Linked DNA regions of Caenorhabditis elegans. The protein of the gene in region 1 purifies or fractionates together with the protein of each later gene. This does not show direct contact. Each region holds a gene or a part of one and is shown in the gene's direction. Other genes may lie near its edges.

The links.
Region 2: the proteins of ilkp-1 (region 1) and hda-10 fractionate together in Caenorhabditis elegans (co-fractionation; one large-scale study listed by BioGRID). This does not show direct contact.

What each region holds. Positions count from the first base shown.
Region 1 is NC_003280.10:11,042,639-11,056,571, forward strand, and holds the start of ilkp-1 (PPM-type phosphatase domain-containing protein), read left to right. Parts: upstream 1-7,616; 5' UTR 7,617-7,621; coding exon 7,622-7,703; intron 7,704-8,547; coding exon 8,548-8,659; intron 8,660-8,699; coding exon 8,700-8,806; intron 8,807-8,860; coding exon 8,861-8,957; intron 8,958-9,017; coding exon 9,018-9,224; intron 9,225-9,527; exon of another isoform or gene 9,528-9,565; coding exon 9,566-9,685; exon of another isoform or gene 9,686-9,769; coding exon of another isoform or gene 9,770-9,916; intron 9,917-9,992; coding exon of another isoform or gene 9,993-10,724; intron 10,725-10,770; coding exon of another isoform or gene 10,771-10,897; intron 10,898-10,944; coding exon of another isoform or gene 10,945-11,150; intron 11,151-11,211; coding exon of another isoform or gene 11,212-11,278; intron 11,279-11,410; coding exon of another isoform or gene 11,411-11,509; intron 11,510-11,769; coding exon of another isoform or gene 11,770-11,906; exon of another isoform or gene 11,907-11,948; intron 11,949-12,467; coding exon of another isoform or gene 12,468-12,620; exon of another isoform or gene 12,621-12,685; intron 12,686-13,141; coding exon 13,142-13,235; intron 13,236-13,933. Other genes in the region: col-83 (Nematode cuticle collagen N-terminal domain-containing protein), read right to left, coding at 1,497-1,889, 1,938-2,132, 2,179-2,403, 3,056-3,124, 3,172-3,330; F33A8.4 (CTCHY-type domain-containing protein), read right to left, coding at 3,648-3,956, 4,530-4,826, 4,872-4,940, 5,008-5,100, 5,603-5,762, 5,821-6,209, 6,306-6,392; sdhd-1 (Putative succinate dehydrogenase [ubiquinone] cytochrome b small subunit, mitochondrial), read right to left, coding at 6,671-6,848, 6,966-7,078, 7,128-7,274; F45E10.2 (Major facilitator superfamily (MFS) profile domain-containing protein), read right to left, coding at 9,770-9,916, 9,993-10,724, 10,771-10,897, 10,945-11,150, 11,212-11,278, 11,411-11,509, 11,770-11,855, 12,468-12,620.
Region 2 is NC_003280.10:13,875,738-13,892,825, forward strand, and holds hda-10 (Histone deacetylase domain-containing protein), read left to right. Parts: upstream 1-6,967; 5' UTR 6,968-6,975; coding exon 6,976-7,098; intron 7,099-7,596; coding exon 7,597-7,725; intron 7,726-8,971; coding exon 8,972-9,371; intron 9,372-10,632; coding exon 10,633-11,202; intron 11,203-11,877; coding exon 11,878-12,209; 3' UTR 12,210-12,296; downstream 12,297-17,088. Other genes in the region: ing-3 (Inhibitor of growth protein), read left to right, coding at 325-352, 419-490, 544-647, 2,033-2,557, 3,690-4,304, 6,399-6,527; mcd-1 (Modifier of cell death), read left to right, coding at 12,925-12,988, 13,063-13,181, 14,874-15,805, 16,705-17,009.

The sequences.
Region 1 (13,933 bases):
CGTTGTTTGCCCTGTGTTAGCTTGAATGTTTTTGGGTGGGGGGTTTGCGTATTTTTCGAGCAAAGTGAGATGGTAAAATACTAGTAGTTGGTGAAACGAATAGCACTGTAATATTGAACAAAACTGGAGGAAGGTAGGCAACGCAGAATAATAATGAGATGGTCGAGAGAGAAAGAGATGAAGAAACAAAGAGATAGTGAACGAGCAAACAATAAACATTTGATAAGCGAATTGATGATGAGCCGGAGCACTGTCACAACACGGCCGATTCGAATGGTTCAAATACAATCGAAAGCGAAGAGAGAGAGAGAGTAAATGAACACCGAGGGGTACGTGTTGTATGCGTAGTTTCGACTGGGAGGCCACCACTGCTCGACCCGTCCGCCCTTCCCCTGCTGGTGCTATTTCGCCGTTCCTTGCACATTCTCGGTCTCCGATCTCTCTAGTTTCGGTCGGCCCGGGGCTTGTGTTGTTGGCCTCATACACACGAAGAGAAGAAGAAGAAGAAGAAGAGCGCAAAGGGTTCTCTCGCACACTCACATACCCCCACACACACACACGCACACGCACTCACGCACTGCTGCTGGCGGATCGATAGAGTGCTTGCTCTTTTTCTCTCTCGGCTTAAATGTGCTGCACAAAACTAAATAATGCATAATTTATCTGAAGAATCTCTGAAAACGTTGAAATAAAGAGCTAGAATGCGGAAACAAATTAGAAACTATACGCAGAAGGGGATTAAGAAATGCGAGCGAAGAAAACATTTTTTCTTCGCTTTTTTGTTTGGAGGACGACAATTAGATCGGCGGGAGACAAAATAGGTGAATTCCCGTGGATTTATTGATGGGAAACAAACAAAAGTAGACCACCCAGTCGGAAACCTTGTTCGAAATGGTTTTTGAGCGGGAAGACACCGCGGAAGAGGAGAAAATTGATGAAAATACACTAAAAAATTATTTAATTTTATAATTTTGCAGAAAAAAACTCGAAAAACGTTTTAAAAAAAGGCGAAAATGAAGAAAAAGAAGTTTGAGTTCGAAAAAAAAATATTAGAAAAATCAAATTTTGCTAATCGTTTCGATACCCATCGCTTGATAGGTATGCGCCTTTAAGATGATTACGGTAGGCATCAAATTTTCAGGCACAGAAAAAGTGGGCGTTTGCCGGGAACTGAACGGAATTTAAATGTTTAAATCAAAATTGATATCTAAAAAAAATTTCATTTTGAAATTTTGCGCAATCAAGTTGGCAATTTCATCAAAGGAACCCTAGGAGCAGGGATAAAATATTTTTAAAAACAAAAATTATGCTAGTGTCAAAATTGCATCATTGGTTATACTGGGTGATTCAATGCAGTTTCAGATAAAATCTAATCTTCGACAATCTCGGCCTTGCCTTTTTGATTACGTCATTGTGCGTTTTTTGTTGATAACCATTTATCCCAACCATTTATTTAGTTAATTACATGGGAAATATCAAAGATTGAGGCCAATTGATCAGTAACCAGGGCTGACACGTGGAATGGGACAAGCCGAACATCCTCCAGCAGACCCAGGAGGCCCAATATCTCCTGGTGGGCCTCTCGGGCCATTCAAGCCAACACGACCAGGAGCTCCTCGATTTCCAGGTGGACCCATTGAGCCCACTTGTGAAAATCCATCGATTCCTTTCGGTCCAGGAAACCCCATTGGTCCAGGTGGTCCAGATGGTCCACTTGGTCCTTCGACACCTCTTGAGTCTTGAGTCATTATGCCTGGATCACCTGGTGGGCCGCGAGGACCAATGCCTCCCGGATTACCGGGTGGGCCTGGAGGACCTGGGGGGCCTGGTGGGCCTGATGTAATATAGAAGTTTTTTGGGCCAGTTGGACCTGGAGTACCGCGGGGGCCCTGTAAGTAAAGACTGACTGATTGAAAAGTTTTAACAAATAGGCCTACTTTTGGTCCTGGAGGCCCTGGCGGCCCACTTCTCGCTGGTGGGCAATCAAAGCAGAAATCATCAATTTCTGGAAGTACGGTATCTGGAACATTAGCTCCAGGAACACCAGGATAACCTTCGGATCCATCGTCCCCGTCATTTCCATCAAGGCCCGGAATTCCAGGAGGCCCAGGTGGACCGAAAATACAGAATTGCTGAAACTAAATATGAAAAAACTCAGGTCAGGCAGGAACTACCCACCTGCTGTGGGCTGTGAACAATGGGTTGTTGAATCACTGGCTGCTGAACTACAACTGGCTGGGAGCATCCTCCACCTCCACCACATGAATGCACTGGATGTATAGCACACCCAGTCTCCTGACCACAATCCGATGGTCCACCACAATTTGTCACATCGTTACAGTAATTCATGAAGAATTGGCGTTTTCGACGTTGGGAAATTGCAACTCCTTTTGACGTTTCGAGCTGGAAAAGGAACCGTAAAGTTAGATCAAATTATAAAATCTGTAGAATTTGCCACCTGTAGCTGAGACACTGTGGCTGAGATCGTGGCGAGACCCAGCCGGAATTTACGCATGCACCTTTAAACTGGCATGTCAAAATTTTACGGAATCACGATACAAATAATTTCAGAAAATAGAAAATATGTAGTAGAAAGCTATCACGAAAATTGTGAAAAATGGTTTTTAAAAAATATTTTCTGATTTTCGAAAAAAAAACTTGATTTATTTCTGACAAATGTATATTTACATTTTCTAGACACTTTTTCGAACATTCCTCTGCTCGAGGCGTCGTTAGTACCTCACTCATGCCTTCCTATCGCCTACCTACGGTGCTTATTGTGTAGGCGCAAGGCAGTCATAGGTCGCCTTGAAGGTAGGAATAAGGCAAGTTTGTGCTTACACTACAGCAAACATGAAAGGAAATTTTAAAAAAAATTGAAACTCAGCAAAAATTGGATAAATTGTTGTGAAAATGTAAAACAGCCAAGAAATGGGCAGAGCCTGTATGTTAATATATTTCGAGTACTTTTCGATTTCCGAAAAATATTCTAAAAAATAAATAAAAAGCTAAAATAGACTCCGCCCATTTAATGGCTTCTTTCCACAAAACTAACCTGAGACAGAATGTCCCATAAATCGTGAGATCTAGACACACAATATCGTAGCTCATATTCTAGTTCGTTCTGCAATAGACTTCAAGCTAGCTGAAATTATGTTTTTTTATTGAAACCTGAAACGTCAAAGTCTTCGCAAATAAAATAACACTGCCAAATAATCCAAGTAATATCGCAGCTACAGTAATCCCGACAGAGATGAGAGTCACGACACGAAGTGTCCGAATTTCAACGTCATCTGCTTCCGGTCTATGCTTCTGCTGCTGCCACGTCATCAGAAGCCTAGAAGGAGCGGAAAGAAACAGTTGAATAGCTGTTAGGATGGAAGGATATGCAAACACTAATAGAGAATAAGTGTGTGGAGTATTCAATTCTAAAGTGTGAATAACTAGTAGAGAAGGAGAAGGATTTCGTGTTCTCATCTTAAGAATAAAAAAACAATTGGCGATTTTTCATCTTAATAAAATGATGATTTAAGAAAAACAAAAAACTTTTGTAGTAGGATAGAGGGAATGGGAAACAAAAAACAATAACAATAAAAGAAAAAGGGTAACAATTTCAACAGAACAACCTTAAAATAACCAAAAAACAATTATTCATCATGCTTCTGAATGCATCTCCCGTACAAATGACATCTGGCACATTGAGCACAGTGCACATATCTCGGCTTGACACACTTATCACATTTCTCGCAGTGATTCCATTTTCCTTGTTCCACTGATGTGCACGCCTGGCAACGATCGCAATGGACATTTCGTTCGGTGACATAGCGATCGCAGACTTCGCAGAATTTGTAGCCGGCGACGTTCTTTAAATCGATGCATTCCACTGGCAAATCGGTGAACAGGCGGACGATCGTTTTCTCGGAATGTTGATAGAGCTTGTGGCCCTCGTAGGTGACCTGGAAAATGATTTAATAAATTTTAAAAAAGTAACATTCAATACATTTTTTGCCCTAAATGGCAGGAAATAGTCCCAACCGAATAAAACTGTTTTTTTACTTAAAAAAAAATTTTTTTTTTTTTAAGTGGTAACAGGGCCGAAATATTTTTAAATTCCCGCAACCTAGTTTCGACATTTTTTCGTTTTCCGCCTATATTTAAGTATAATGATAGGTTTTTTTGTTTGATTTTAAACATAATTTATAAAATTTTCGGACGTTTTTTCGCAAAAAAAATAGTTAAAATAAATGTTCATTTTTCGATTTTTAAGGCTAATTTAGAACTTTGTGATTTTCTTTATAGTTGGAAAAAGTAAAAAATATTGAATTCAAAAATAATTTGAATGTTTCTATTAAAAAAAACCTCTTTGTTGAAAATTCATAATAAAAAAATTTTGTTCAAAAATTTAGTTTTAAACCCACTAACATTGTTTTTATTTAATTTAGAAAATTATTTTTCAAATTTTTACAAGTTATATTCGGTTTTTTGGTCATTTCTGCTCACTTTGAGCAAAAAAAAATTCCAAAACTAACTCTGTAATCAGACATCCAAAAGTTTCCATGAAGCACGTATTTTCGAATATAAATCGGCAGAACAATCATCGAATAAAATAAGGTTTCCTCTTTCCCAGTTGACACAAATCGTTTCTTCATCTTTTCAATACTTTTTAGCAGTGGTTCCATAAAAACTCCGAATGGTGGATCGGTGATCATTAGGATGCTTTTGCTTTTATCGAAGAATTCCATAAGCTTTGGCTCTGCGATTTTATCGAAAAAGTGATCAACGAGCATACTGTATTGAGCGTATTGTTTCGATGGGAAGAACTTGGCCTGAAATAGATAAATTTTGAAAAGGAAATGGTTTTAATAACTTACAAATCGTTTATCATAATCCAACAGGAACACGTTCTTTTCCGGGTGAAGGGCTCGAATGTTTTCAAAGATCTGAAAAAAATGTTTTTTGTTTCCAAGTTTTGATTTTGAAAATTCGTTTTTCAAAAAAAAAACTCACTCTAGGAGCTCCGATGCACAGAATTCCGTCGACTTTTGATTTTTCAACAGCTTTCGTGATGACATCAAGTGTCTCAGTGGAGAAGAAGAATTGCTGAAAATTGGGGTGATAATTATGAAATGTGCAGATTGTTTTGAGCCAAAGTAGGTGAACCTACACAAAATTTTTTTGTTAACTTTTAAAGAGAACTGTAACTTCAAACTTTTGTTGCTGCACAATTTTTAATCGATTTTTTCGAAATTTGTTAAAGCTATGTGCTTTTTTAGTTGTTTTTAATATACTATTTTGATAAATAAAAAATATTTTCAACGAAAAACTATGGAAAAATAGAAAAAAATTTGCGTTTGAAAGCGCTTTTTTTCGAATTTTCAAAAAACTTAAATAAATCAAATAAAACAAATAAAATTCAACAAATCGTGGGAAAACTATGGAAAATTGATGAAAATTCCATAGCATCGAACGTTTGAAATTACAGTACTCTTTAAAGGCGCACATCCGTTTTGTTTTTTTTTTCGCCATTTTAATTTGTCGTGCCGAAACCAGCAAAATTTAGCGTCTGGATAATAAAAACGTTTGGAAATGCAAAAATACTCACTGATTCTCCATGTTGCTCATTTACTGGTGGAAGAAGGTGAGTTGGTCGTTCGAGAGCCTCTCGTTCCACGGGCTCACAGACACATTCATGCTTGTTCGGGAACACATTAATGCACGTTTTGCAATACAGAACTGTGTCCGTTGGTGACATTTCGGTGAGACTGAATTAAATTATTATATTTTTTATTCGGAAATTTCTTAAAACATTTAATTACTCACGCTTTTGGGATTCGATTATATCCAAAAATCTTCTTTTTCTTCTTCTTTTTCTCTGCGTCTTCTTCTCCTTCGACAGCTTCTTTCACCTCAATTTCTCCGGTTTCTTTGTTGAAAGTCAACTTAAAATCGCAAAATTCGGCTTGATTTCTGTAAATTGCACATGCAAAGAATGTCTCCTCGACTTCTGGACCATTTTTCTTCTCGAACAGCAGACAAGGACCATGAGAGCACTGCGGAACTTGTGGAAGGTCATCAGTTGGAAGAACTTGGAAGAATCCACGTTGTCTGAGAGCTGTGCTGTCTTGTTTTTGAAATTGTTGCTCCTGTTGGTTTTCCTGTTGGTGATTGTGGAAATTCGGTCGTTTTGAGAAGTTGTTACGTCGGCGAGCCTTGAAAATTGATTTTTTATATAAATTTAAATAAATTTTGTTATTTATTTCTATATAAATTTAAATAAATTTTGTTATTTATTTCTTAATTTATACCTTAAAAACGTTGTTCTTCTTCGCTTGTTGCATAAACCGTTTTTTCCTTTCAAGTCGTTTCGCTTTATATTCATCTGAGTGAACCATCTGAATATAATTATATTTAATTCATTTTTTAACTTTAAAAATCTGAATAAAATCAATATAATATTTGGAATAAAATAATCCAATTCGTTCATTATTATCTCATCAATTCGGCAGATGTTAGAACAGTTCATTTGGAAGAATATACATTAAAATTCGAACTAGAAAAGAACTCGGAACTAAATCTTGAGGCCGGGGGAAATTTCGCAGTAACAGAGAAGCGGGGAAGATGAACAGGCGGAACACGGATTATGAAAGCTTTTCAACTTCTCAATACTGATTTAGAGGGAGAAGACTAGTTCAAAGGCCTTGGTGATTCCGACGTCGTTGGTGTTGAAGTGGAGGAGTGCGCCGAGCAGAAGACCAGTGATGAGGTAGACTCCGACGTGAGCGGCCTTTGCAGCAGCCTCTCCGATCACGTATGGACGAGCGTAATCGTACACGACTCCGTGGATTCCCCTGAAAAATTTTGATTTTTTTGTTGTTAATAATATTTACAATTAATTTATGATTTTTTTTTCGAAATTTTCCATCTTTTTCAGTAAATAATATGTGAAATCGATTTAATTCCCTTACCAATGAATATGGAGAGTGAGGGCAACAGTGAGAACGGCATCCATAACTGGTCCGTGGATGAAGTAGGATGCTGGAAGAATTGGGAGCATTCCAACGGCCCAAAGACGTTCAAGCTGTAATTATTTATGATTATCCTCTGCTTTTAAGCCTTAAAATTCCCACCTTAAAGTGCATAGAGTGGTCTGGAACTTTGCTGGCTCCATCGTTTAAAGTAGAGGTGGCTCTAACGATTGTTGAGATTCTTGGAGCGCTTCTGGCGACGAGAAGTGCCTTCTGGAAGTGAGCCATATGACGGAGAGACGCGGCCATCCTGGAATTATTGATTTTTGGAGCAAAAACATGAAAAATCTGTTTCAAATTAAATATTTCATTAATCAAATTTGAAAATTTTAATAAATTCGCTACTTTCTGAATAGAGAACACACAAAAACAAGAGAGAAGGAGGGACAAAATCAATTCGGCGGTTCGTACAACACTCCGAAATAACGATTACGCGTGTTGTTTAGCGAATATCAATGCGATTTTTGCACGTCTACAAAATCGGCGGAAATTTTAAATTTAGACAGGATAAACACAATTTTTTGTTGAAAAATCTCGATAAGGAAAACCAAAAATGTGCATAAATGTTCCAAGCTAACAAATTTGTTTTACAGAAAATGTACTCGGATAGCAGAAAACGGAGTTCTGATGACTTGATCGATAATTCAGATGAATCGAAAAAACCGAAGGAATCGAGAAGTGAGTATTTATTGATTATTTTTGAAAAAAATTGCTTGGGAAAATTGAAATAAATAGAAAAAAAATAGAAAAACTTTGAAAACTGGAAATTCATGAAAAGCCGAGACACCACGGTTTCAAGATCTGGTGGGATTCCGGGTCTACGTTTTCCGGATCTACCATTTCCGGATCTACGTTTTCCGGATCTACGTTTTCCGGATCTGACCGTGCCAACTCTTAAATCGCTATTTTTTTCGAAGAAAAAAGTGACAACGACGCTCCGATGTTACCCGTCGCGTATTGTTAAGCGTTTCTTCTAGAAGAAAATTTCGAAAAAAGTCGTGCGTTGAAAAGCGTTTTGTGCGTTGGCACGGTGCCAGATCCGGAAAACGTAGATCCGGAAATGGTAGATCCGGAAAACGTAGATCCGGAATCCCATCAGATCTTGAAACCGTGGTGCCTCGAAAAACCTTCAAAATTTATTTCAATTTTAAAAAAAAGTATCGTAACTTCAGTTTAAAGGCGCACGCTGGTTGTTTCAGAGTGAGTCTCACCACGATCTCAGTAATAAATTTTATTAAATACAAACAGGTGTGCGCCTTTGAAGAGTACTGTAGTTTCAAACTTGTGTAGTTGCAGAATCTTTATCGACTTTTTGTAGTTTTTCGATAAAAATATATTTATGGATTAAAACATTTACAAAATCAAGAGAAAAACTCTGAAAAATAAATAAAAAAAATTCGGAAGACGCACATCTGTTCGTATTTAACAAAAATTGTCGTATCGAGACTGGGTACCGTATTTTTGGTCCAAGAAACACAAAATTTCGCGCCTGAAATAATAAAAATACCAATTATATTTAAAGATCTTTACTGCACTCTTGCCGCGTACGGTTGTCGAAAAGGAGAACGAGCTGACATGCAAGACACTCACATAATGCTTCCAAAATTCGATTTAGGAACCGAAAAATCATTTCTGTAAGTCCAAGTCTCACAGTTTCCAATACTCCCTCTTCAGGTCTCGTGCATCATTTTTCGCGATTTTTGATGGTCACGCAGGACCACGCGCCGCAGAGCATTGTCAGAGTCAGATGGGTAAAACGGTCAAAGAAAAACTTGCCAAATGTATTCAATTCTTTTGATATTTTTGTTCGAAAATTAAATTTTCGGAAATTTCAGTTTCGGATTTCCCAACATTGACTAAATCACTCAAGCAGACCTTCACAGAATCCTACAAAGCAGTGGACGACGGGTTTTTGGCAATTGCCAAACAGAAGTATGATTTAATGAGATAAAAATTCCCCAATTAATTTTTTAAAAAATTAAAAAATTTCAGTAAACCTATCTGGAAGGATGGAACCACCGCGACCACCATGATCATTCTGAACAATGTGATCTACGTGGCAAATATTGGTGATAGTCGAGCTGTTGTTGCTAGAAAGAAAGAAGATGGATCATTTGCACCAGTTTGTCTTACTGTAGATCACGATCCAATGTCTCATGATGAAAGGATGAGAATTCAGAAAGCTGGAGCAGTTGTGAAGTGAGTTGAAGTTTTAGATCTACTGATTTTAATGCTTTCTGACTTGAATCGATGTTGCAACATGTTGTAAATTAGAAGCAATTTGAAAAACAATGAAAATCTTTTTTTTAATAGCCGGAAAACGAATAAATGTAAAAACTAGGCAATTTATTTGTGCGTGAATTCAAAAATAATACAACCTTTAGAAGTTTTTTTGTTGTAAAATTAAAAAAAAGTTTTAAAATGCTAAAAATAATTTAAACGTTTATACTAGGTATATTGAGACTGTTTCCAATCATTTTGGGTAATTTATGATGTATCTGCTTTCAATAATTACGATTTATAAACTATTAATTTTCCAGAGATGGTCGAATTAATGGAGTAATCGAAGTGTCTCGTTCAATTGGAGATTTGCCATTCAAATCACTTGGCATCATCAGTACTCCGGATCTCAAAAAACTGACGCTCACCAAAAATGACTTGTAAGTTCATTATTTACATACAAAAATTATTAGAATAATTATGAAGAGGGTAAGTGTGAAAATGATTAAAGTAAATGTTGAAAATTAAATCTTGTTGCCTTCCACTTCGGAAATCGAGTCAGGAAGTTGTTGGTTTACGGTCTCGGGTAACATTGTCCATGAGACAATTGATGCACATAAAGCGAGTATTGTGAATGGGATAATCATGACGATTCGGCCGAATCTATCAACCTGAAAATTAAAATTATTGCAATTGAAAAGTTAGGAATGTTTTGGAATTTTTTGAACTTTTTTGAGCTCAACTCACCAAAAAGAATGCAATGAAAGAAGCACTGATTGCTCCAAATCTAGCTATTGTCGAGCAACATCCAACTGCAGTATTGCGAATAACTGTTGGGAAAAGTTCAGATGTGTAGGTGTACATGACAGTATATGCAACTGACACAGCTCCCTTTGCAACCATCAGCATAATAACTGCATATTGACTCGGAATCAAGTCATGTGTAAGCCAACTAGCCAGAAGAAGCATTCCAGCAGTGAAGATAGCTCCAGAATACATGATACGTCTTCCAAGTCTGTCAATTAGCAATGCAACGATGATGACAGCAGGAAGCTCCATGAGTTGAGAAGTGACAAATGTGACGAACAAACTGCCTCCGCCAACGTCACTTCTCATTGTCAATCCGTAGTACATCATAGTTGTCACTGGCCACATCACAAAGTTTGCGATGGTTCGTTTTCTCATCTGAGGTGTTCTGATTAGATCAAAGACTCCGAACGAGTCCTTTTTCTTTGTTGCAGTCACATCCATCTTTTTCTCTATTTTCTCTGCCCAGTTCTTTGGAATCGTTTTCTTGTTCCAGTTTGCAGTTGCACACAGAACTACATTGGCGTCGTCGTATTTTTCTTGAGATACAAGCCAGCGGGCGCTCTCGTGGATCATCCAATAGTAGGTTATGAAGATTAGGGATGGAATTGCAATAGATGCATGCAAAAGCCTATAGTCTACTATAAAGTAGGCCATTACTGCCAGTAACACCTGAAACAAGTTCTTTAATATTTAAGTCCTGATATTTTCAAATTACCCCTCCGATAACACCGAAGACGTTGGCAATGACTGCAATAAAGCTACGGTACTTTTTCCCAACAAGCTCAATTCCCAAGACAACGGCGACTCCATAGATCCCAGGTTGAGTGAATCCAGTTCCAGCTCTGGAAATTTATTTTATGTAACTGGAAATCATGATAGGATTTCTTACTTCAAAATCGCATAGATCCACCAAGTGGGAGCTACAATTAATAAGAGAGCGCATACCACTTGAAGCACTAGGCACCAGAAAAGTACTTTCTTTCGTCCGATCTTATCTGCCATGACTCCGCAGGTGAAGGATCCAATCATTTGACCTATGAAGTATACTGCCTGGACTGTTGCTCGGATCCATCCGTTATCTCCATCCATTTCCCACTGAAATAGGAAATATATGTGAATTATTTGAAATTCAAATGTTCGTTGATGTTGTTCTTACCCTGTCAGATGCAGAGTAGGCCAATTCCTCGCAGCCATCAATCCGTGTTTCGTTGGTTTCATTGCATCTGTAGGAAGGAAGGAATGAATGAACAAATATATTTACGATGTTTGTTTTCCTGATACTATATCACTACAGCAGACGTCATTACGTATGACAGTTTCAGCACCACGTGGGCGTCTTTGACCGATGAACTTACATTTTTCTGGCCGGAGATACCACAAAAGTCCAACTCATCACATGCATCGAGACGAAGGCGATAGGTATACATATCAAGATAAACTGGATTTGTTGGAATCTGAAATTTTGATGATTTAATGATTAGTTCTTTACGAAATTTTAGTTAGGAATGAATTTTTTAGGAAAAATTTCACGAAATTTTAGTTAGGAATGAAAAAAAAGTACAAGTTAAACAGTATTCTACAAGGTACTAACAAGTATTTTGTCAGTTGACAGTTTTTTATTAGAGCAAACGTCAACTGAAATGGTGCAAGTCTAATAGGGAAACTACGGTAATTTTTGCCAGAATTCCTTACTCAAAAAATATTAAAAACTAACCTTCCGAAGCTTCCAAGTCCTTCAAAAATCGATTCAAGTTTGATCTTATCGTTTCGCACGTCGACCTCCTCGACATAATGTGCTTCCTCAAGATGAGCAATATCTTTAACTGGTGTAACTTTGACCGAGGAAGCCATTGTCGTAGAAACTAACTCGTTTTCCGCACTTTTTCCCTATTATACCCAACTACGGACCAAAAGACACCCGGTAATCGTACCGCCCCATTTCATACAGTCTGTGTCATAGGATATCAAGACGCTCGCCCGCCTACACTCACACGTGCCTGTTGTTCTAGTGGTTATTCGGGTTATTAGAAAATTCCAACAACGGAAATTAAAAATTGAAGGTGGCATTGGCGTTGAAATCGAAATTAATATCGAAATCAAACGCTCAATGAACATTACGAACTATGATCAGATAAGCATGCGGAAGAAACAAAGGATCGCGGGATATCCCAAGCTTCCTTAGCATAGCGTCCACTTTTACTACGTAGCCGTGAAATAAGAAAACTCGACCACTCTCATAAAATTAACTAAGATTTTCTCGAAAATCGGCTTTTTGGAATTTTAGAAACCCCTTTTCAAGACCATCCTCGGCAAGTTTCAGGAACAAGAAAAAGAAAAATAAATGATTGGTCGAGTTTTTGACATCACTAGGCCACGTAGCAAAAACTTCATGTTATAAAAAATTAGACTTACCTGTTTTGTTCCAATATCCTTTAGACCTTGCTCTATAAGTGGGTTCATTGCTTCGTTGAGACTATTGATGACGTCACTAGAACAATAACTAGTAATTGTAGTTTGAGCAGTTTGAGGAATATCCTCATCTTCGAGGCTCTCATCGATCGACATCCTAATGAATAAGTGTCAGGTCAATTGGGGAAAAAAGAAAAAAGTGCTCTCTGGCAAGAGGCGAGAGAGCGCACAGAGGCAAATATGAGCACTCTGCCTTAGCGCGCGCACTGGACATCGATTGGATTAGATGAGAGCCTCGAAGACGAGAATAGAGAGCAAAAGCTGAAATTATGAAAGAATGGTCTCTTTGATCCTTGGATTAGACACCATATTTCAGAAAAGAGAAACCCCTTATGTACTAAGTACGTCTCCGAAACATCGAAAAAAATAATTTCTGGTGTTTCTAGCTATAAAGGAACGTAACATTTTAACAACATACAATAAAAGTTATTGCACAACCTACGGAGTTGAACATAAAACGGCGAAAATGAGATTCCTCGAAATAACAAAAACTACTTTTAAAGGCGCAGCGTTGTCATCCATAAAACCATAAAACCATTGCACAAATGATCTTCAATGTGTCATCGATTTGATTCCTTCGCAATTTAAACGACATTCGCTAATTCGATTTGTTTCAGATTTGCCATCATCGCCTGCGACGGTCTCTGGAAATCATTTTCCAATTTGGAAGCTGTTTCGTTTGCAGTCGAGCAGTTGGAGGCTGCAAAGAAGGTTAGGATCATGTTTAGCGGGAAGGTGTTCGGGGGACTAAAGAGCGTTACAAAAAGTGTGATCCCACTAGAATGGATCTACTCGGATCCTAGTTAAGGGCCACAATAGAATTTTAGGCAATTGAAGGATAAACCTTATATTCCGGTACACCCCTGCTTTATATAGGATCACGTGCTTCGGCGAACTATTTTTCAATTGTACCTATACTAGGTTCATCTGACAATTCGTACCCAGATTGACCGTAAATCAAAACATTCTACATACTACCCCCCCCCCCCCCATTCACCACCATGTGTTAGCGTATCCGTCACGAAGTCAGCGAACATATGACGTTTGACCGAAATTCCTACTCTCTGCTAGTCGGTTCAGCTGATTAATCAGTTATCATTGATAGAAAACGATCCCCCAGCTATCAGATGGCAGAAGATACAATTGTTCTTTGGCCATATTCTGTAAATGCACGTTTCAAGAACTTGGAGAGTACATCCCTTGAAATATTGCTGCAGCTAGATAAAAACAATGCAAACGAATTGATAAGGAAATATCAAAAGATTGGTTTTCAAACAAAAAGTACAAAGAACATCCTGCAGAAATCGCAATATCCGGGGTCGAAGAATACTTTTGTGGCTTGTATTCAACTGTACACATATCAGATCATTGATCAGCAGAAGCTACCCGACGTCATATTTACACTGAGA
Region 2 (17,088 bases), 2.8 Mb from region 1:
TTCGACTTTTTCTCTAAAATTCAAGCAAAAATACACCGAAAACATTAAAAATCGGTGGAAAATAACAAAAAATAAATAAATTTAGAAACGTGCAAGCGCGGCGCTCCAACGAACGAGTTCAATTGGCGGAAATTCAAATAGGAATTAGGGGTAAAAACTGAGATTTTTTCAATTTTCAAAAAATCATATAAAATTTAGAAATTTTTTTTTGAATTTGGCGTGTTTTAAAGCAATTTTCCCACTGGCGCTACGCTACTCCACTTTTAATTAATTAATTATTTGGAAAAAAAATTCAGAACTCGGCGCTGGACGCCCCCGCACAAAATGCTCTTCCTCGATGATTTTTTAGAAAGTAAGTGGTTTTTTTTGTTGCAAACTTTTCCCCTATAAAAACACCCAAATTTTCAACGTTTTCCAGTGCTCGATGAGCTGCCTGCCGAGCTGAAGGAGAGAAGCGATGAAATTCGGCGAATCGACAATGAAGTTGAATGTAAAATTTCGAAATTTTTCTGAATTTTTCCCTTCATTTTTTCGAATTTTTAGCCCGTCTAAACCGTAATCGAGAGGCGATCAACGATTTTTTCGAGAGAACCGGCGTAAATATGCCCGAGGAGCAGAGAAAGGAGCGCTGCAAGGTTTTGCAGGAGGTGAATTTCATGAAAATTCCTGGAACTCGAATTTGGCAGCAAATTGACACGAAAACGCAGGAAAAAGTTGATTTTTGCCACAAAAACGGCTAAAATTCGTGAAAAATGAGAAATTTCGCTATAAAACCCGTTTTTCTAGCTTTTTCGTGAAGAAAAATGAGAAAAAATGGGATTTTTTTGTACTTTGCCTGATGTCATTTTTTCACTTTTTAAGCTTTTTTTTCCCACAAAACACCAAAAGTGCTCAAAAATACTCAAAGTGAATGACGTCTAAAAACACTAAAATGAGGTCGAAAAACTCAAAAAGTTGCTCAAGATCCGACCAAGTTGTAACCTTTTCGGAAAAAAACCTAAAATTAGAATTTTGTCGTTTTTGATCGTTTTTTGAAGCTTTTTCTTCACAAAAATAGCTTAAAAACGCAAAAATTAGCCCAAAACGCTTATAAATCTCAAAATGCATCCAATTTTTCAAAATTTTCCGCTAAAAATAAAGGAAATACCGAAATTTTCAAAAAATGAGCATTTTTCCGCGAAAAAATCCCAAAATTCCGCTAATTTTTCAGAATTTCTCGGAAAAAAACGGTCGAAAAAATTCCTTTTTTCACTGAAAATCTTTTTTAAAAAACAGGACAAAAAATCGCAAAATTCAGACAATTTTTCGGAATTTCTTGTTAAAAAGTGAAAAAAAAGCTGAAAATTTAGCTTTTTTCACGAAAAAAAATTGAAAATTCAACTAATTTTTGGGAAAAAACATTTACATTTGCATTTTCTAATTTTTTTTTCGTGGTTTTCTAAAAAAAACTTTCAAAATCTCAAAATACAACCAATTTTGCCGAAATTCTTGGAAAAAAACCCTAAATTTGCATTTTCTATTAATTTTAAAAGCTTTCTCCCCCAAAACTACCTTATAATCCCAAAAAATCAGCCAATTTTTCTAATTTCTCTTTAAAAAAAAAGCTGAAAAATTAGCTTTTAAAAAAAAAAAAAGCTTAAAAATCCCAAAATGCCAATTTTCCAGATTTTCTCGCGTTGAAAGTGAAGGAAATGCCGAAATTATAAAAAAAAATTAGCTGTTTTCACAACAAAAAAAAAGTCGAAACCCCCGAAAAATCATAAAATCAACCAATTTTTCAGAATTTCTCTTTAAAAAGTAAAAAAAAGCTCAAAAATTTGCTTTTTTTTTTCAATAAAAATTTTAGAATTCAACCATTTTTTCAAAATTTCTCGTTAAAACGTTGAATAAGCTCAAAAAAAAGTTTTTATCACAAAAATAGCTGAAAAATGGCAAAATTTCTCTTAAAAAATGAAAAAAAAAGTTCAAAAATTTGCTTTTTCACAAAAAAAAAATTGAAAAAACCCAAAAAATTGCAACCAATTTTCTTCAGGAATTCTCCACAATCCGCGTGCTAGCTCAACGCAAATATCTAATCGCCGAAAAAATGCAAGAACTCCTCAAAAAGTACAAAGTTCACTTGGAAAAGGAGAAAACCACGTTCCAGTGTGAAATGGAGGCCGACAATTCAGGAGTGACCGAAATGATCGAAAAACGATATACCCAACACGTCGAATCTCTGCTCACAGCGAGAAAAGAACGAAAACGTCGTCATCGCGTGGGCGGTGGTGGTGGTGGTGGAGGATCGTCGTCGAGAGCATCGACAGTCGCTTCGGGACCACTTTTATCGAAAGAATCAAAGGACAAAATTCAGCGGATCCTTCAGGAAGGTGTTCGTCTTCGAATGGATCTTTCCGATGAGTCGGCACAATCGGCACTATCATCGGCTATACCATCACCAGCGCCACGTGGGCGCCCGCCAAAGATCGCAAAGGATCAGCTGTTGCTGTCGTCGGCGGCGATGGTGGTGGCCAGTGATGATTGTCTGACGCCAGTGCCACCAACACCGACGGCTAGGGTGAGGAGCTAGCTGAAAATTCGAGAAAATTCGCAAAATTTGGAGCCCACCTACCACGGCCTCCTGTTCAAAGAACTGGCGAAATTTCGAATTTTAGCTAAATTTTGAATTTTCAAATAATATTTTTCAAACATTTTTGAATTTCAGCCTAAAATCCGCAAAATTTGATCGTACAAAAACCTCACAAAATTGATAAAATTTTCCCGTTTTTTGGGTGTTGTTACAAGAAAAATTTGACGAAATTTCGAGTTTTAGCGTAATTCGTCTCTTTTCAACTATTTTTTTAGCCTAACCGCCACATTTTTTAATAAAATTTACGAAAATTGGCCGTTTTTGGGTCATTTTGGACCGTTTTCAGCTAAAAATTAACTTTTTGTTTCGAATTTTCAAAATTAAACGAAATTTGGCTCTTTACTGACTAATTTTTAAGCCAAACCGCCATGATTTTCTGGAAAATCAGCCTATTTACAGGAGGACTAACGGTTTATTGACCCAAATTTTGTGCTCAAATGAACGAATTTCGTAATGAAACTGCTCGAAAATGTATTTATGGCGGTTCAAAATTTCGAAAATGACACTGATTTTAGCTAAAATCTCGAATTTTGGTCATTTTTCCGTGTCACAGCTGTAGGAAGTTGGTTTTTTTTGGAATTATCATCCTTCATTGCATATTTTGGTAGTTTATCTCATTTAATTTCATTGATTATGGTAAATTTAAAGCCAATAGGTAACCAAAAATCATTAAAATTGGTCGCCTATAGGCTTTAAACAGACCTTAATAAACGAAATTAAATGAGATATTAAAACCAATATATGCAATCAAGAATGATATTTCCAAAAAAAGCCAACTTCGGACAGCCGAGACACGGAAAAATGACCAAAATTCGAGATTTTAACTCAAATCAGTGTAAGTTTTCGAAATTTTGAAGCGCCATAAAACATTTTTGAAGAATTTTTGAGCAATTTCAGTATGAAATTCGTTCATTTGAGCACAAAATTTGGGTCTATACGTTCCAAATCGTCCGAACCGTTAAATAGGCTGATTTTTCAGCCTAACCGCCATTATTTTCACGAAAATCAGTCGTTTTTGGAGTGAAAAAACTAAAAATTCTCTAATTTCTCCAAATTTCAGCGCCGCTCAAACACAAATGCTCTCCGCGGCACAGTCTCCATTCCAAGTGCTCTTTCATCAATGATGAATCGTGGTGAATCGACATCCCGCTTCTCACCGAATCCCTCCGAACGTAGTTGGTCAAACGCCGGAATCGACGAATCATCACCGACGCCGACGACAAGCCTACTGATGACACCGACGTTCTCCTCAGGACCGCATATCGTCGTTTCGCCGACGACTCCAGTTCTCCAGAATTCGGCGTTTGTGGTGTCTGAGAGCCGTCATGGTAGAACTCGGAAGCTGACCAGTAGAGTTCAGGAGATGTTTAAGGAGACTCTACAGCGGCAGCGGAATCATGGAAATTCAATTATAGCACTACAGGAGAGAATGAGTGCGGCGAATCTGGCGGCGGCGGCTCAGCACGCTCACGCTCCGACGAGCTCTTCACCACAATCACCACTTCCGGAGATTGAAGGAGCCGCCGAGGATGATGATGAGGAAGGACCGAGTTATCGGATTAAGCGGAGCCATCCGATGATGGCTCCGGGATCGGAGGATGAGGAGGATGAGATGCATTGGTGTTTTTGTAATGAGAAGAGCTATGGAGATATGGTTCAGTGTGATAATCGTCATGTTAGTGTGGGCTTTTTTAATGAAGGGAAAAATTGAATTTTTCTCCGAAAATTGAGCGAAAAATTCAAATTCCCAGCAGAAATAGTGCGAAAAAAAAATTAGATTTTTTTTTGTTGTTTTTTATTACCAAAAATTGATTAAAAAATGTGAATTTTCATCAGAAATAATGCAGAAAATTACTGTTTTTTTTTCTTCGAATAGTGCGAAAAATTGAGTTTCCATCCATTCAAAAAATCAAAAAATTTGGATTTTCACACGAGAAAACAGTGCGAAAAATATATAATTTCTACCTGAAAATTGCAAAATCATGTTGCTATATTTGCGGTGAAAATTCACTTTTTTGGTTAGTCAAAGATTATCAAAGATCTTATTAAAAAAAAAAAAAAAAATTTCCATTCAAAAAATCGAAAATTGAGCGAAAAATTCAAATTTCCAGCACAAAATCAATAATTCGTAATTTTTGATGAAAATTCATATTTTTTCATGGAAAATTGTACAAAAAATTCAAATTTCCACCAAAAATTGAGTTTAAAAAGTGAAATCAGAAATAATGCACCGAAAATTAAATTTTTGTTTCAAAAATAGTACGAAAAAAGTTAATTTTTAACCGAAAATTATTTTTTTTTTAATTTGAATTTCTACCACAACAAAATGCTTAAAAATTGTTAAATAGAGTGTTTCCTTGGAAAAAATCACAAAAATGAAGTTTTCACCAAAAAATTGCGAAAAATATATAATAATTTCTACCAGAAAATGCAAAATTTTGCTTTTTTTTACATTTTTATCGAAAAATTTCACGAACATTCAGAAAAATTGAATTTTCACCAAAAAATTGGAAAAAGTTGCAATTTATATTATTTTTAGGCTAAAATCAACAAAATTTCTGCGTTTTCAACGGTTTTACCAAAAAATGTGTTACAAAAATTCGAAATAGTTGAGCGAAAAAATTAATTTCCACCTAAAAATTGCAAAACTTTGCTATATTTTTGGTGAAAATTCGATTTTTTGTTGGTATTATTATCAAAAAATTTTACAAAAAAAATAGAATTTTCATTTTAAAAAAATCCCGAAAAATTAAAATTTCATCAGAAAAATATTTTTAAAAATTGATTTTCCACAAAAACATGCTCTTGAATTACAAAAGCAACTGAAATAATACGAAAAATTTAGATTTCGAAAATTAAATTGAATTTCCACTGTAAGTATTTCAAAAATTAGAAAAATTAAATGGAAACAAACACAAAAAAACATAAAACACGAAAACATGATTTTTAAAAAATTGTTTAAAATAATTACAATGTGGAAATTTCATTTTTCGCACTGTTTTCGGTGAAAACTCAGTTTTTTTCCACAAATATTACAAATTACATCCATCCATCTGAAATTTACACCAAAAACCTTTAAAACAAAATACAGAAAGTCTGAAAATTTCAACAAAAAATTCTAATATCTAAATTTAAAAAACATTTCTACCAAAAATCTGATAAACTGAATTTTCATCGAGACCATCACCACCAAAAAACTAATTTTTGACCAAATTGAGTGCGAAAAATCGAATTTCCATCAAAAATATTATAAAACATTTTGTTTTCTTCGAAAAGTAATGCAAAAAAGTAAATTTCCGCCACACAAATATATTTAAAAAAAGTTGAATTTTCATCAAAAACTACAAAAAATAGAATTTGCCTGGAAAATTCTAATTTTTTCGAAGAAAACAAAATGTTTTATAATATTCTTGATGGAAATTCGATTTTTCGCACTCAATTTGGTCAAAAATTAGTTTTTTGGTGATGGTCTCGATGAAAATTCAGTTTATAAGATTTTTGGTTGAAATGTAAATTTTTTATAGCACTTTTGTAGCTATATGTTTTTTAAATTTAGATTAGAATTTTTTGTTGAAATTTTGGAAAAAATTATGGGAAAATGGTAGATTTGTTTGTTTGTTTTTTTTTGTTGGAAAATAAAAAAAGTAATAAAAACCACAAAAATATCAGTAAGTTTCAACCTAGATTAAAAAAATAGCTACAAAAATTTGGAAATTAGTAAAGTTGCTAGAATTTTTTAAATTTCTAATTAATCCCATTTCATTTGCAGTGCACCCTCCGCTGGTTCCATTACCCGTGCATTGGAATGGTCGAGCCTCCGACTGGAAAATGGTACTGTCCGCGGTGTGAAGTTACGATGGGAATTGCTCTCAAGCTGTCCGAAGAGGGAGAAGTCTAATATAAATATTATGACTCCCCATCAACGATAATTTAATAATAATAATAATAATGATTGGCCTGAAATTTTCCCAATTTTTTTAAAACATTTTTATCTGAAATTTTCCCCAAAGACTCTGATGCTCTCTCACATTTTTTTTAAAAATATTTTTAAATACCCCAAAAAAACAATTGTAAAAATTCCAATTAATTTTATTTTGCACACTATTTTATATATTCCCCCCCATGTTATGATGTCCCATGATTCTCAAATTTCTCCTGCATTATTCTCTTGTACAATATACCCTAAAAAGTTTTAATAAGGATGAACTCGATAATTTTTAAGATTTTTTTTTTTGGATTTTTTTTTTGAAATTGCATGCCACTTGTTTTTTTACTCTGATTTGTATTTTTTTTATAGGCATTTTTTCCATTTTTTTCCAGATTTTAAGAAGTTTTTAGAGTTTTCGATGGCTGCAGAAAAGAAAGTTTTTGTGATTTTCGATCATCAGGAGCAACGACACGATCAGCCATGGCCATCATATCATATTGAAGTTCCGAGGAGGCTTGATGCGATTTTGGAGAGGCTTAATGTATGGGGGGAAATGAGCAAAAAATTTGGATTTTTAGGGGGAAAAGCCGGAAAAAAAATAAATTAAAATAACAAGCACAACTATTTTCCAATAAAAATGAAAAATACAAATATTTGCATATTTCAAAGAAAACCTCGGAAAAAAAAGACTGAAATTTTGAATTTTTTTGAGAAAATTTCAAAAAAATGTGCAATTTTTTTGAAATTGAAATTTCTGAAGTTTTGGAATTTTTCAACAAAAAACCTTATATTTCTAATTAAAAAACCGCTTTTTTCGAATTTTTCAAAAAAAAATTAAGAATTTTGAATTAAAAAAATTTTATTTAAAAAAAAAAGGAATTTCTCAGAAAAAAAATGCTGTTTCGTAATTAAAACAATTTTATTTTAAAATAACATTTTTTATCGAATTTTTCGCAAAAAAAATGATTTTTTAATGATAAAGAAGAAAAGTTTTCATATTTTACAACAAAAAAAAAACCCCCCAAATTTTCATTTCCAGACCACAAAACTGCTCACCGACCCCCGAATTGAGCACATTCCCCGCCGGGAAGCGGAAGAATCGGAAATTTTGGCGGTACACACGAAACGATATGTGGATGACGTTAAATCGACAGAAACGATGACTGTGGTCAGGATTTTAGCCGGAAAAAATTGGAAGAAAATTGTGCACTAAAAAACTGATTTTTCAAAAAAAAAATTTTTTTTTGAAAAATTCGAAAAAAAAATTATTTCAAAATTTTTTTTTCAACTTTTTCTGGAAATCTTGTTTTTTTTTCACAATTTACAGTTTACAATAACATACAATAACAGAGGTTCGAGGTAAAAAAAATTATGTAATTTTTTAAAATAATTTTTCTTTTGAAAAATTCGAAAAAATAAAAATTTTCAGACCCTTTTTTAATTTTTTTTTCTGGGAATCTAGTTTTTTTTTTTTCAAAATTTTTACTTTTTCTCATTAATAGTTTCAGAAATTACTTTTGAAAAAAAACGAAAAAAAATTTTTTTTTTCAAAATAATTACAACTTTTTCTGGAAATCTGATTTGATTATGATTATGGTAACGAAGTTCAGAGAAAAATCTGTTTCTTTTTTTCAAAATTTGCAATTATAACAGAGGTTTTAGACTATTTTTTTAGAATTTTATTGTAAAATTAAATTTAAAAAAAGTTTGAAAAACTCGAAACAAAAAAAATTTTTTTACAAAATTAGCAGTTTTATCTAGAATAACATGGTTGCAGGTTTTTTTTTGTAAAATTTAAAATAATTTTTTTTTTATTCCAAATAACTTTTCGAAATTTTTTAGATTTCGAAAGTTTTTTTTGTAAATCCTTTTATTTCAATATTTTTTTCAAAATTAGAAGTTTTTTACCTACAATAACAGAGTTTTAGGGTATTTTTCAGATCTATTCGGAAAAATTTCATCAAAAAAATTTGTTTTGAAAAATTTCAAAAAATGTTTTTGCAACATTTTTATATTTTTTGGGAATCCCTTATTTTTTTCAAAAATTCTTTGTAAACAATAGAAGAGGTTTTAGGCTATTTTTTTGAATTATTCTAAAAAAATTACACAAGACATTTTTGAAAAATTAAAAAAAAAATTTTTTTTGAAAAATTTCAAAAAACGTTTTTGCAACATTTTTATATTTTTTGGGAATCCTTTTATTTGATTTTTTTTTCAAAAATTTTTTGTCCACAATACAAGAGGGTTTAGGCTATTTTTCAGAATTTTCAACAAAAATGTTTTGAAAAATTTTCAGGAATTTCCAAAAAAAATGTGTTTTTTTCAGACGTTCAAAAAAATTCCAGCAATTTTTTCCAATTAAAAAAAATTCCAAAAATATCGATTTTCCCAAATTTCCAAAATTTTCATTCCAGGAGCAACAAGAATCATTCTGCACCAAATACGAAGACATCTACGTGAACTCTGCCACGTGGCACCGTGCAAAACTCGCCGCCGGCGCCTCAATCGACCTGATGACGTCAGTGATGGCCGCCAAAAGGCCCGGAATCGCGTTTATTCGGCCACCCGGGCACCATGCGATGCCTGACGAAGGATGCGGTTTCTGTATATTCAATAATGTGGCAATTGCGGCAAAAGCGGCAATTCAAAATGGTCAAAAAGTGCTCATTGTGGATTATGATGTACACGCTGGAAACGGGACTCAGGAGTGTGTGGAGCAGATGGGAGAAGGGAATGTACAATTGATTAGTATTCATCGTTATGAAAATGGACATTTTTGGCCGAATATGCCACAGACTGGCATTTATCATAATTGTTAGTGTTTGTTGCAAAAAAATTAGAAAATTAAAAAAAAAAATTTTGAAAAAAAATTGCGTAGAAAAGTCAAATTTTGAAAAAAATTGCAAAACAATTTTAAAAACTTTTTTTTGAAAAAAAATTTCCGTCGAAAATTCAAAAAATTTAAAAAAAATTTGAAAAAAAATTTTTCTCAAGAAAACAATTGCGTGGAAAATTCAAAATTTTGAAAAAAATTGCAAAAAAATTTTTTTTGACAAAAAAATTGCGTGGAAAATTCAAAATTTTGAAAAAAATTTAAAATAAAATTTTTCTCAAGAAATAAATTGCGTAGAAAATTCAAAAATTTGAAAAAATTGCAAAAATAAATTTTTTTTCACAAAAAAATTGCGTGGAAAATTCAAAATTTTGTTTTTTACGGTATTAGGTCTCGACACGAAAATTGTGTGTTTATTGCGAAAAGGTGTGCGCCTTTAAAAATTACTAAAATTTGGAGATTTGCGGATTTTTTTGAAATGAAAAAAACTGAAAATGAAAAATCGATAAAAATTCCGCAAAGTTTAGTTAACTTTTTGCAATTAACAAAACAATTTTCGTGTCGAGACCTTTTTTTTTTGAGAAAAAATTAAAATTTTGCGATTTTCCGAATTTTCTAGTAATTAGGGTATTTTGAAGGAAAACTCTTACTGAAATTGCGATTTTTGCGCCGAAAATACGGTATCACCGGGGTCTCGACACGAAAATTGTCTTGTTAATTGCGAAAAGGTGTGCGCCTTTAAAGGGTGCTGTAGTTTTAAACTTTGCGGAATTTTTTATCGATCTTTTAAAAAAATCGATAAAAGTTCGAAACTACAGTACTCTTTAAACGGCGCACACCTTTTTGGCAATTAACAAAAAATTTGTCGTGTCGAGACCCCGGGGGTGCCGCATTTTTTTTTAATTTTTGGCGCAAAAAAGTCACAAAACAAATTGAAACAGTGATTGAAAACAAAAATTATTTGAATTCCCTCTAATATGCGAAGCCACGCCCACTGTCTAACCAATCAGCGCCTTTGAACTCCGCCCACTCTGTCTGATTGGTCGAAAAATGGGGGCGGAGCGAAATGCTGATTTCAAAATTTTGGGCGTTTTTAAGAAAAAAAATATAGCAAATTTTCAAAAAATTTTGCAATTTTGGCTCAAAGTTCGCAAGACCAATCAGCGAACCCGGCTCCGCCCACTGCGCTGATTGATTAGAAAAGGGGGCCTCAAACAGACCAATTTTTAAGCATTTTTCCAGACAAAAACACGATAAACCTGCCGCTAAACACCATCGGGCTCACCGATGCCGACTATCATGCTCTCTTCACTCACATCATTCTCCCCACCATCCATGCCTTCCAGCCCGATCTTCTCCTAGTCTCTTCAGGCTTCGATGCCTCCATCGGCGATCCTGAAGGCTCGATGCAAGTGACGCCAGCAGGATTCGCTACGATGATTCGGATGCTTATCGACACTGGGATCCCTGTGGCGGCGCTTCTCGAAGGCGGCTACTTCCTGGATGCACTGGCCGCGGATTCGGAATGGGTGTTGCGGGCACTGCTGGGCGAGGAGATCCCACGGATTCGGGTGGAGAAGATCCACTCGGCGATCGCTGACACGATTGGAAGAGTTGTGAAGAGATATGAAGGTTCTTGTCCGTTCTTCAAGAAGGTTCAGGAGCTCCGGGGGATTCTGGGATGCCGAGTAGCCGAGGAAGATCAGCAGGAGGAGGCTACAGACTACACGGGAGAACGGACGGTGCACCCGCCGTACGAGACACGTGGCATTTATACTCCGTTCACAGAGCAGAAGGTGGCGGAATTTAAAGGTCCGGTTCGGAGGGGCTGTCCCATCAGGCTGTCCCATTACGCTTTGATCTACAAAAAATGCGGGCATTTTTTCCCCCAAAAAATGTGACGTCAGCAGAACACTCTGCGTCTCTTCTCCCGCGTTTTTTTTGTAGATCAACGTAGATCAAGACGAAATGAGACACTCTGACACACCACGCATTCAAGATCTGGTGGGATTCCGGATCTACGATTTCCAGATCTGGGCCAACGACGATGCTCCGATGTTACGCGCCGCGTGTGCTGTTAAGCGCATTTTCCAGAAGAAAATTTCAAAAAAAAACCGCGCTTCCGTTCGAGCACGTGGTGTCAGGCTGTCCCATCACGGTTTGATCTACAAAAAATGCGGGAATTTTTTGCTCAAAAAAGTGACGTCAGCACCGGGCTGTGCGGCAACCGGGATTTTCGGCAACCGGCAATTGCCGAAGTTGCCGAACCCAAAACTTTTCGGCAACCGGCAACTCGGTTGCCGGTTGCCGCTCAGCCCTGGTCAGCACACGTTCTTAACCATACAAAATCAGTTGAGAACACTCTGGGCCTCTTCTCTCGCATTTTTTGTAGATCAACGTAAATCAGGCCGAAATGAGACACTTTGGCAGACCACGTGTGCCAGATTCGGATTCCTCTCAATTTTTGTCAATTTTCCGAAATTTTAGATCAACTCGAATCGATACTCGCCAGCTACACAACCCCTCCCGACTTTTCCGCGGAAACTGAAGCATTCCACAGTGCCATAGCCCCTCACAGCTCAGAAATCAACGATTTCTACTTTGGAGTCCACGAGGACAAGATCCTGCTCGGCACGAGCCCAGCGGTTCGGCTTTTCTTCGAACTTCTCTTCACCGCACCCTACGACCCGAAGCACACGATAAAGCTGTACGGAAAGGTGAAGCCGGAGGATTTTGGCAAAATTGAGTTGGATTCCAGAAGTCTTGGGGAGATGAAGAATATTTCGATTTTTAATAATTTACCCATTTTTCAATTGTGATATGTGATTTTTTTTTGTTGGTGAATTTAACAATTAATTGTGATTATCTACTGTGTTATCTACTTGAAATGAATATTATTTCATGAAAAAATCTGATATTTAACCTGTAAACGCTAAAAAAAAAACAGAGAAAATTGGGATATTTTTAATATTTCCACAAAAAAAAACCAAATTTTTGCCACTTTTTCCTCTTATTAAATCAATTTTTCAACAAAAACCTCTGATATTTGCCTCTTCAGTGACTTTTCCCTCGTTTTAAATTGATTTTTCAGCGAAAAACCCTTCTTTCCTACTTTTTCCCGTGCTAAATTGACTATTACCGAAAAAAAAAATCAATTTCTGCCATTTTATACTTTTTTAAAATTAAATTTCTGACGGAAAACCGAAAAATTAGCATTTTTGCAACTTTTTCCTGTTTTAAAGTGATTTTTCACCGTAAAAACCCCCAATTTCCGGAAATTCCCGATTCAATAAAATCCGCAAACACAAATATTCCGACCGCAACGCGACCGCAACGCGTCTCTCCCCCCACTTTTCCACTTTCCCGCCATTTATTTATTTCATTTGTCCAACTCTACTGCCTCCTCTGCATCGTTGCTCTATCGATAAATTTTTATTTTATTTATAAAATTACAATTACACCGTAATTTATCACGGAAAAGCTTCGCCGAGCCCGAAAACCCGGAAAAATTGTGAGATTTTTCCAGAAAAATCGATGGAGACCGCGCCAGACGAAGCGCCAACCGAGTTCTTGGAACCTGGCGAGGAAATTGTTGAAAGTGAGCATTTTTCTGGGCTCAAAAAGGCTCAAAAAAGCTTAAAATATTTTTTAAAACACTGTAAAAATCTGCAGATGTGATCGAAGAGGAAGTAGTGCACGAAGAAGACGTGGAGCATCACGAAGAAGACGGAGAAATGATTGAAGTTCAGCATGAGGAGGTGCTCGAGGAAATTGTCGAGGAAGATGGAATGGTCAGCTGGGAATTCGCGAAATTCCATCATTTTTGCGATTTCGAAAATTCGAAAAATCGATTTTTAACGAATTTTCACGAAAAATCGAGGAAAATTCCAATTTTTCTTGCTTTTCTAGTATAAAATATCAATAAAAACCAAGCATATTGTTTTAAATCAGCAAATTTTTGGTTTTTTTTCACGAAAATATCAATATTTTTCCCTCAAAATTCACATTTTGAGCCGAAAAACCACTTTTTTCCATGGTTTTCGATTTTTCCTCTTTAAAATATCGATTTCTATGGGAAAAATCATGAAAATTCGCTAGAATTTTGCGATATTCAGCGAAAAAGTCCAATTTATCCTACAAAATGCCGTAAAATGACTGAAAACCAGCAAATTCCGGATTTTTTCGCTACAAATTCACATTTCCAGCTTAAATTCTCCAAAATTCCGCTATTTTTCAATAAAATCCAGATTTTTTTTTGCTGAAAATTCAAATTTCCAGCCAAAATTCCGTATTTTTCGTTAAAAAATCACATTTCCAGCCAAAATTTTCTAAAATTCCGCTATTTTTCACAAAAAATCCGTACTTTTCCAGCCAAAATTTTCTAAAATCCGCATTTTTTCATATAAATTCCGGTATTTTTTCTCTAAAAATTCACATTTCCAACTGAATTTCTTTAAAATTCCGCATTTTTTCACTAAAAATTCACATTTTCATCTTAAATTCTCTAAAATCCGCCAATTTTTCATAAAAAACCCAGATTTTTTCGCTAAAAATCCACAAATTTCCAGCTAAAAAATATCTGAAATTCCGCAATTTTTCGCAAAAATTTCCAATTTTCCACCTAAAATTCCGATTATAAGCTGCAAAATTACAAAAATTTCACAAAAAAACCGTGAATTTCGGGAAAATTCCACTAAAAAATCGGGTTTTTGCCCAAAAAATTTCTTCAAAATCGCCAAATTTTCATGTTTTTTCAAATTTCTTAACTTTTAAAACGCATTTTAGGGTGAAAATTTCACGAAAAACACATAATTTCAAGAAAATTCCGCCAAAAAAATCGGATTTTCCCCGAAATTTCCCGAATTTCCAGATGTACGACACCGATGGCCGTGTAAAATTCTCCAAAATTTTGCTATTTTTCACAAAAAATCTGGATTTTTTCCCTGAAAATCCACATTTCCAGCTTAAATTCTCTAAAATCCGCATTTTTTCATATAAATTCCGGAATTTTTGACACAAAATTCACATTCTCAGCTCAATTTCTCAAAAATTTCACCAATTTTTCGCTAAAAATGCAAATTTTCAGCTTAAATTCACACAAATTTCTCAATTTTTCATATAAATTCCGGAATTTTTGACAAAAATTCACATTCTCAGCTCAATTTCTCCAAAATTTCACCAATTTTTCGTTAAAAATTCGCATTTTCAGCTAAAATTCTTTAAAATCCGCCAATTGTTTGCTAAAAATCCCGAGTTTTTCATCGAAATTTCCGATTATAAGCTGCAAAATTACAGAAATTTCACAAAAAAAAACCGTGAATTTCGGGAAAATTCCACAAAAAAATCGGGTTTTTGACCAAAATTTCGTCAAAACCGCCAAATTTTCATGTTTTTCACATTTTTAAAGTAAAAATTTCACGAAAAACCCGGAAAATCCGCCAAAAAAAATCGGATTTTCCCCGAAAAATTTCCCGAATTTCCAGATGTTCGACACCGATGGCCGTGTAATCGAGTACAGTGACGTCATGGTGTACGAAGAAGGCACCGAAGTGATCGAGGAGTACGTCGAGGTGGAGGATCTCGGCGACGGCCGCTACGCCTACGTAATGACCGACGATATAGGCCATCGGCGCCTACTAAAGCCTCACGAGGTGGAGGCCGTAAAGAAGATGCCCGGCATGATGGAAGAAGAAGTCGTGATGGATGATGAGAAGGCCCCAAATACAAGCTACGCGGCGGCCCAAAAGAGGGGTAGATTTCCTCCTCAAGCCCGAAGCAGCCTAAGCCCACAAAAGCCCAGAGCCGCCGGGGCCTATATGGGCCCAGAGGCCTACTACCAACAGCCCAAAAGAATGACCCATATGGCAAAGGTGGACGTGGAAAAGTACTCGCCAGTGACACCCGTGAACCGTCGGCCGCTAATGGATAACGCGATTTTTAAGTCTAAGCTTCCCAGAAAAAGTGCTCCATGGCAAGAGGAAACTGCTGCCAACGGGGGGCCCCAGTCTACAAGCCTCATCAGATCCCCGTCCCCAATGCTCAAAGAGCCCCTATTCGATGATAACGAGATTCGATTCAAGTGTGCAGAGTGTGGAGATGGATTCCCTGTAATGGATCGACTCTGTGATCATATGATCAAGCAACACGACTGTCAGACAAATGTCCGAGAGGTTCAGTTCTTCGCAGATCGGGATTTCGAGAATTTCCTGTTAAAAGTCGAGAAGGCCACCCTGGGCCGAGATCCTGAAGACGCGATTCGCAAAAAATCACGAGCCGGCTCTTCGCAGCTTTTCGTGTGTAATTATATGAATAAAGGCCGCCAAAAGATGGCCGAGCTTGTCGAAGTTGGCATCGTTGGGCTCTCCGAGCGACCGCTTGAAGTTTGTACGGCGTTTGTGCAGAAAACTCATGGATAGTGAGTTTTTTTGTTGCACTGCAACTTTTTCCTCACGAGGGACGAGGAAAAGTGGTTTCTAGGCCATGGCCGAGGGGCCGACAAGTTTCAGCGGCCGTTTACCTTGCTTTGTTTTCCGCCTGTTTTCTTTTGTTTTTCACTGATTTTTTTCGTTTTTTCTTAATAAAACTGATAAATAAATATTTTTTGCAGATGCTAAAACAATTTCCAAGTAAAAAAATTATGTATTCAGTGGGCAAGCAGCGGTGAAAGTGGGCAATGTAAAATGATGGATTACGGGAATACAAAACCTAAACTTTTTCTTAAACATGATACATATGCTGCTTAGATGCTGTAGCTACCTGATTTTCATAACGAGACCGCTGAAAAAGTTTTGAGGTTTCCAAAATTCAACTTTTTGCGCGGAAATCTCGACTTTTTCTCTCGACTAAAGTTGAATTTTGGAAACCTCAAAACTTTTTCAGCGGTCGCGTTATGAAAATCAGGTAGTCTCAGCATTTAAGCAGCATATGTATCATGTTTAAGAAAAAGTTTAGGTTTTGTATTCCCGTAATTCATCATATTACAATACCCACTTTCACCGCTGCTTGCCCACTGAATACATAATTTTTTTACTTGGAAATTGTTTTAGCATCTGCAAAAAATATTTATTTATCAGTTTTATTAAGAAAAAACGAAAAAAAAATCGATGAAAAACGAAAGAAAACAGGCGGAAAACAAAGCAAGATAAACGGCCGCTGAAACTTGTCGGCCCCTCGGCCATGGCCTAGAAACCACTTCTCCTCGTCCTTCGTGAGGAAAAAGTTGCAGTGGGCCACGATTCAATTTTAACTTTTAAAAATTGGAAAAAAGATTTTTTTTTTGGCAAAAAAAATTAAAAAATGTTCGTTTTTTTTCAGCGAATGCATCCGCGTCAAATACTGCGACCAACACATTCACTACGACGGAAATATCGGTTTTCGAGTGCCAATAGCCGTAAAACGACGGCTTTTTGAAATGTCATTCAAACGGCTTCCGATTCCGTGTATGCAAATCATGTTGGGACTAGAAGCCGAACAACTTCTTCCACATCCCACCAGATTTGAGGAAAAGCTCAAAAATCTGTCACACGTTGAAATTATCGAGCTTCTGCAGATTATCAACGCCTCGTTGCGGAAACATCAGGAGGTTGAGCCGAGGGGAAAGAAGGTTCCCATCAAATTTGGTAAATACTCGGATTTGGAGCAATTTTTTGCGATTTTGAGCAAAAAATCAGAAAAATCTGCAAATTTCACCACATGTGT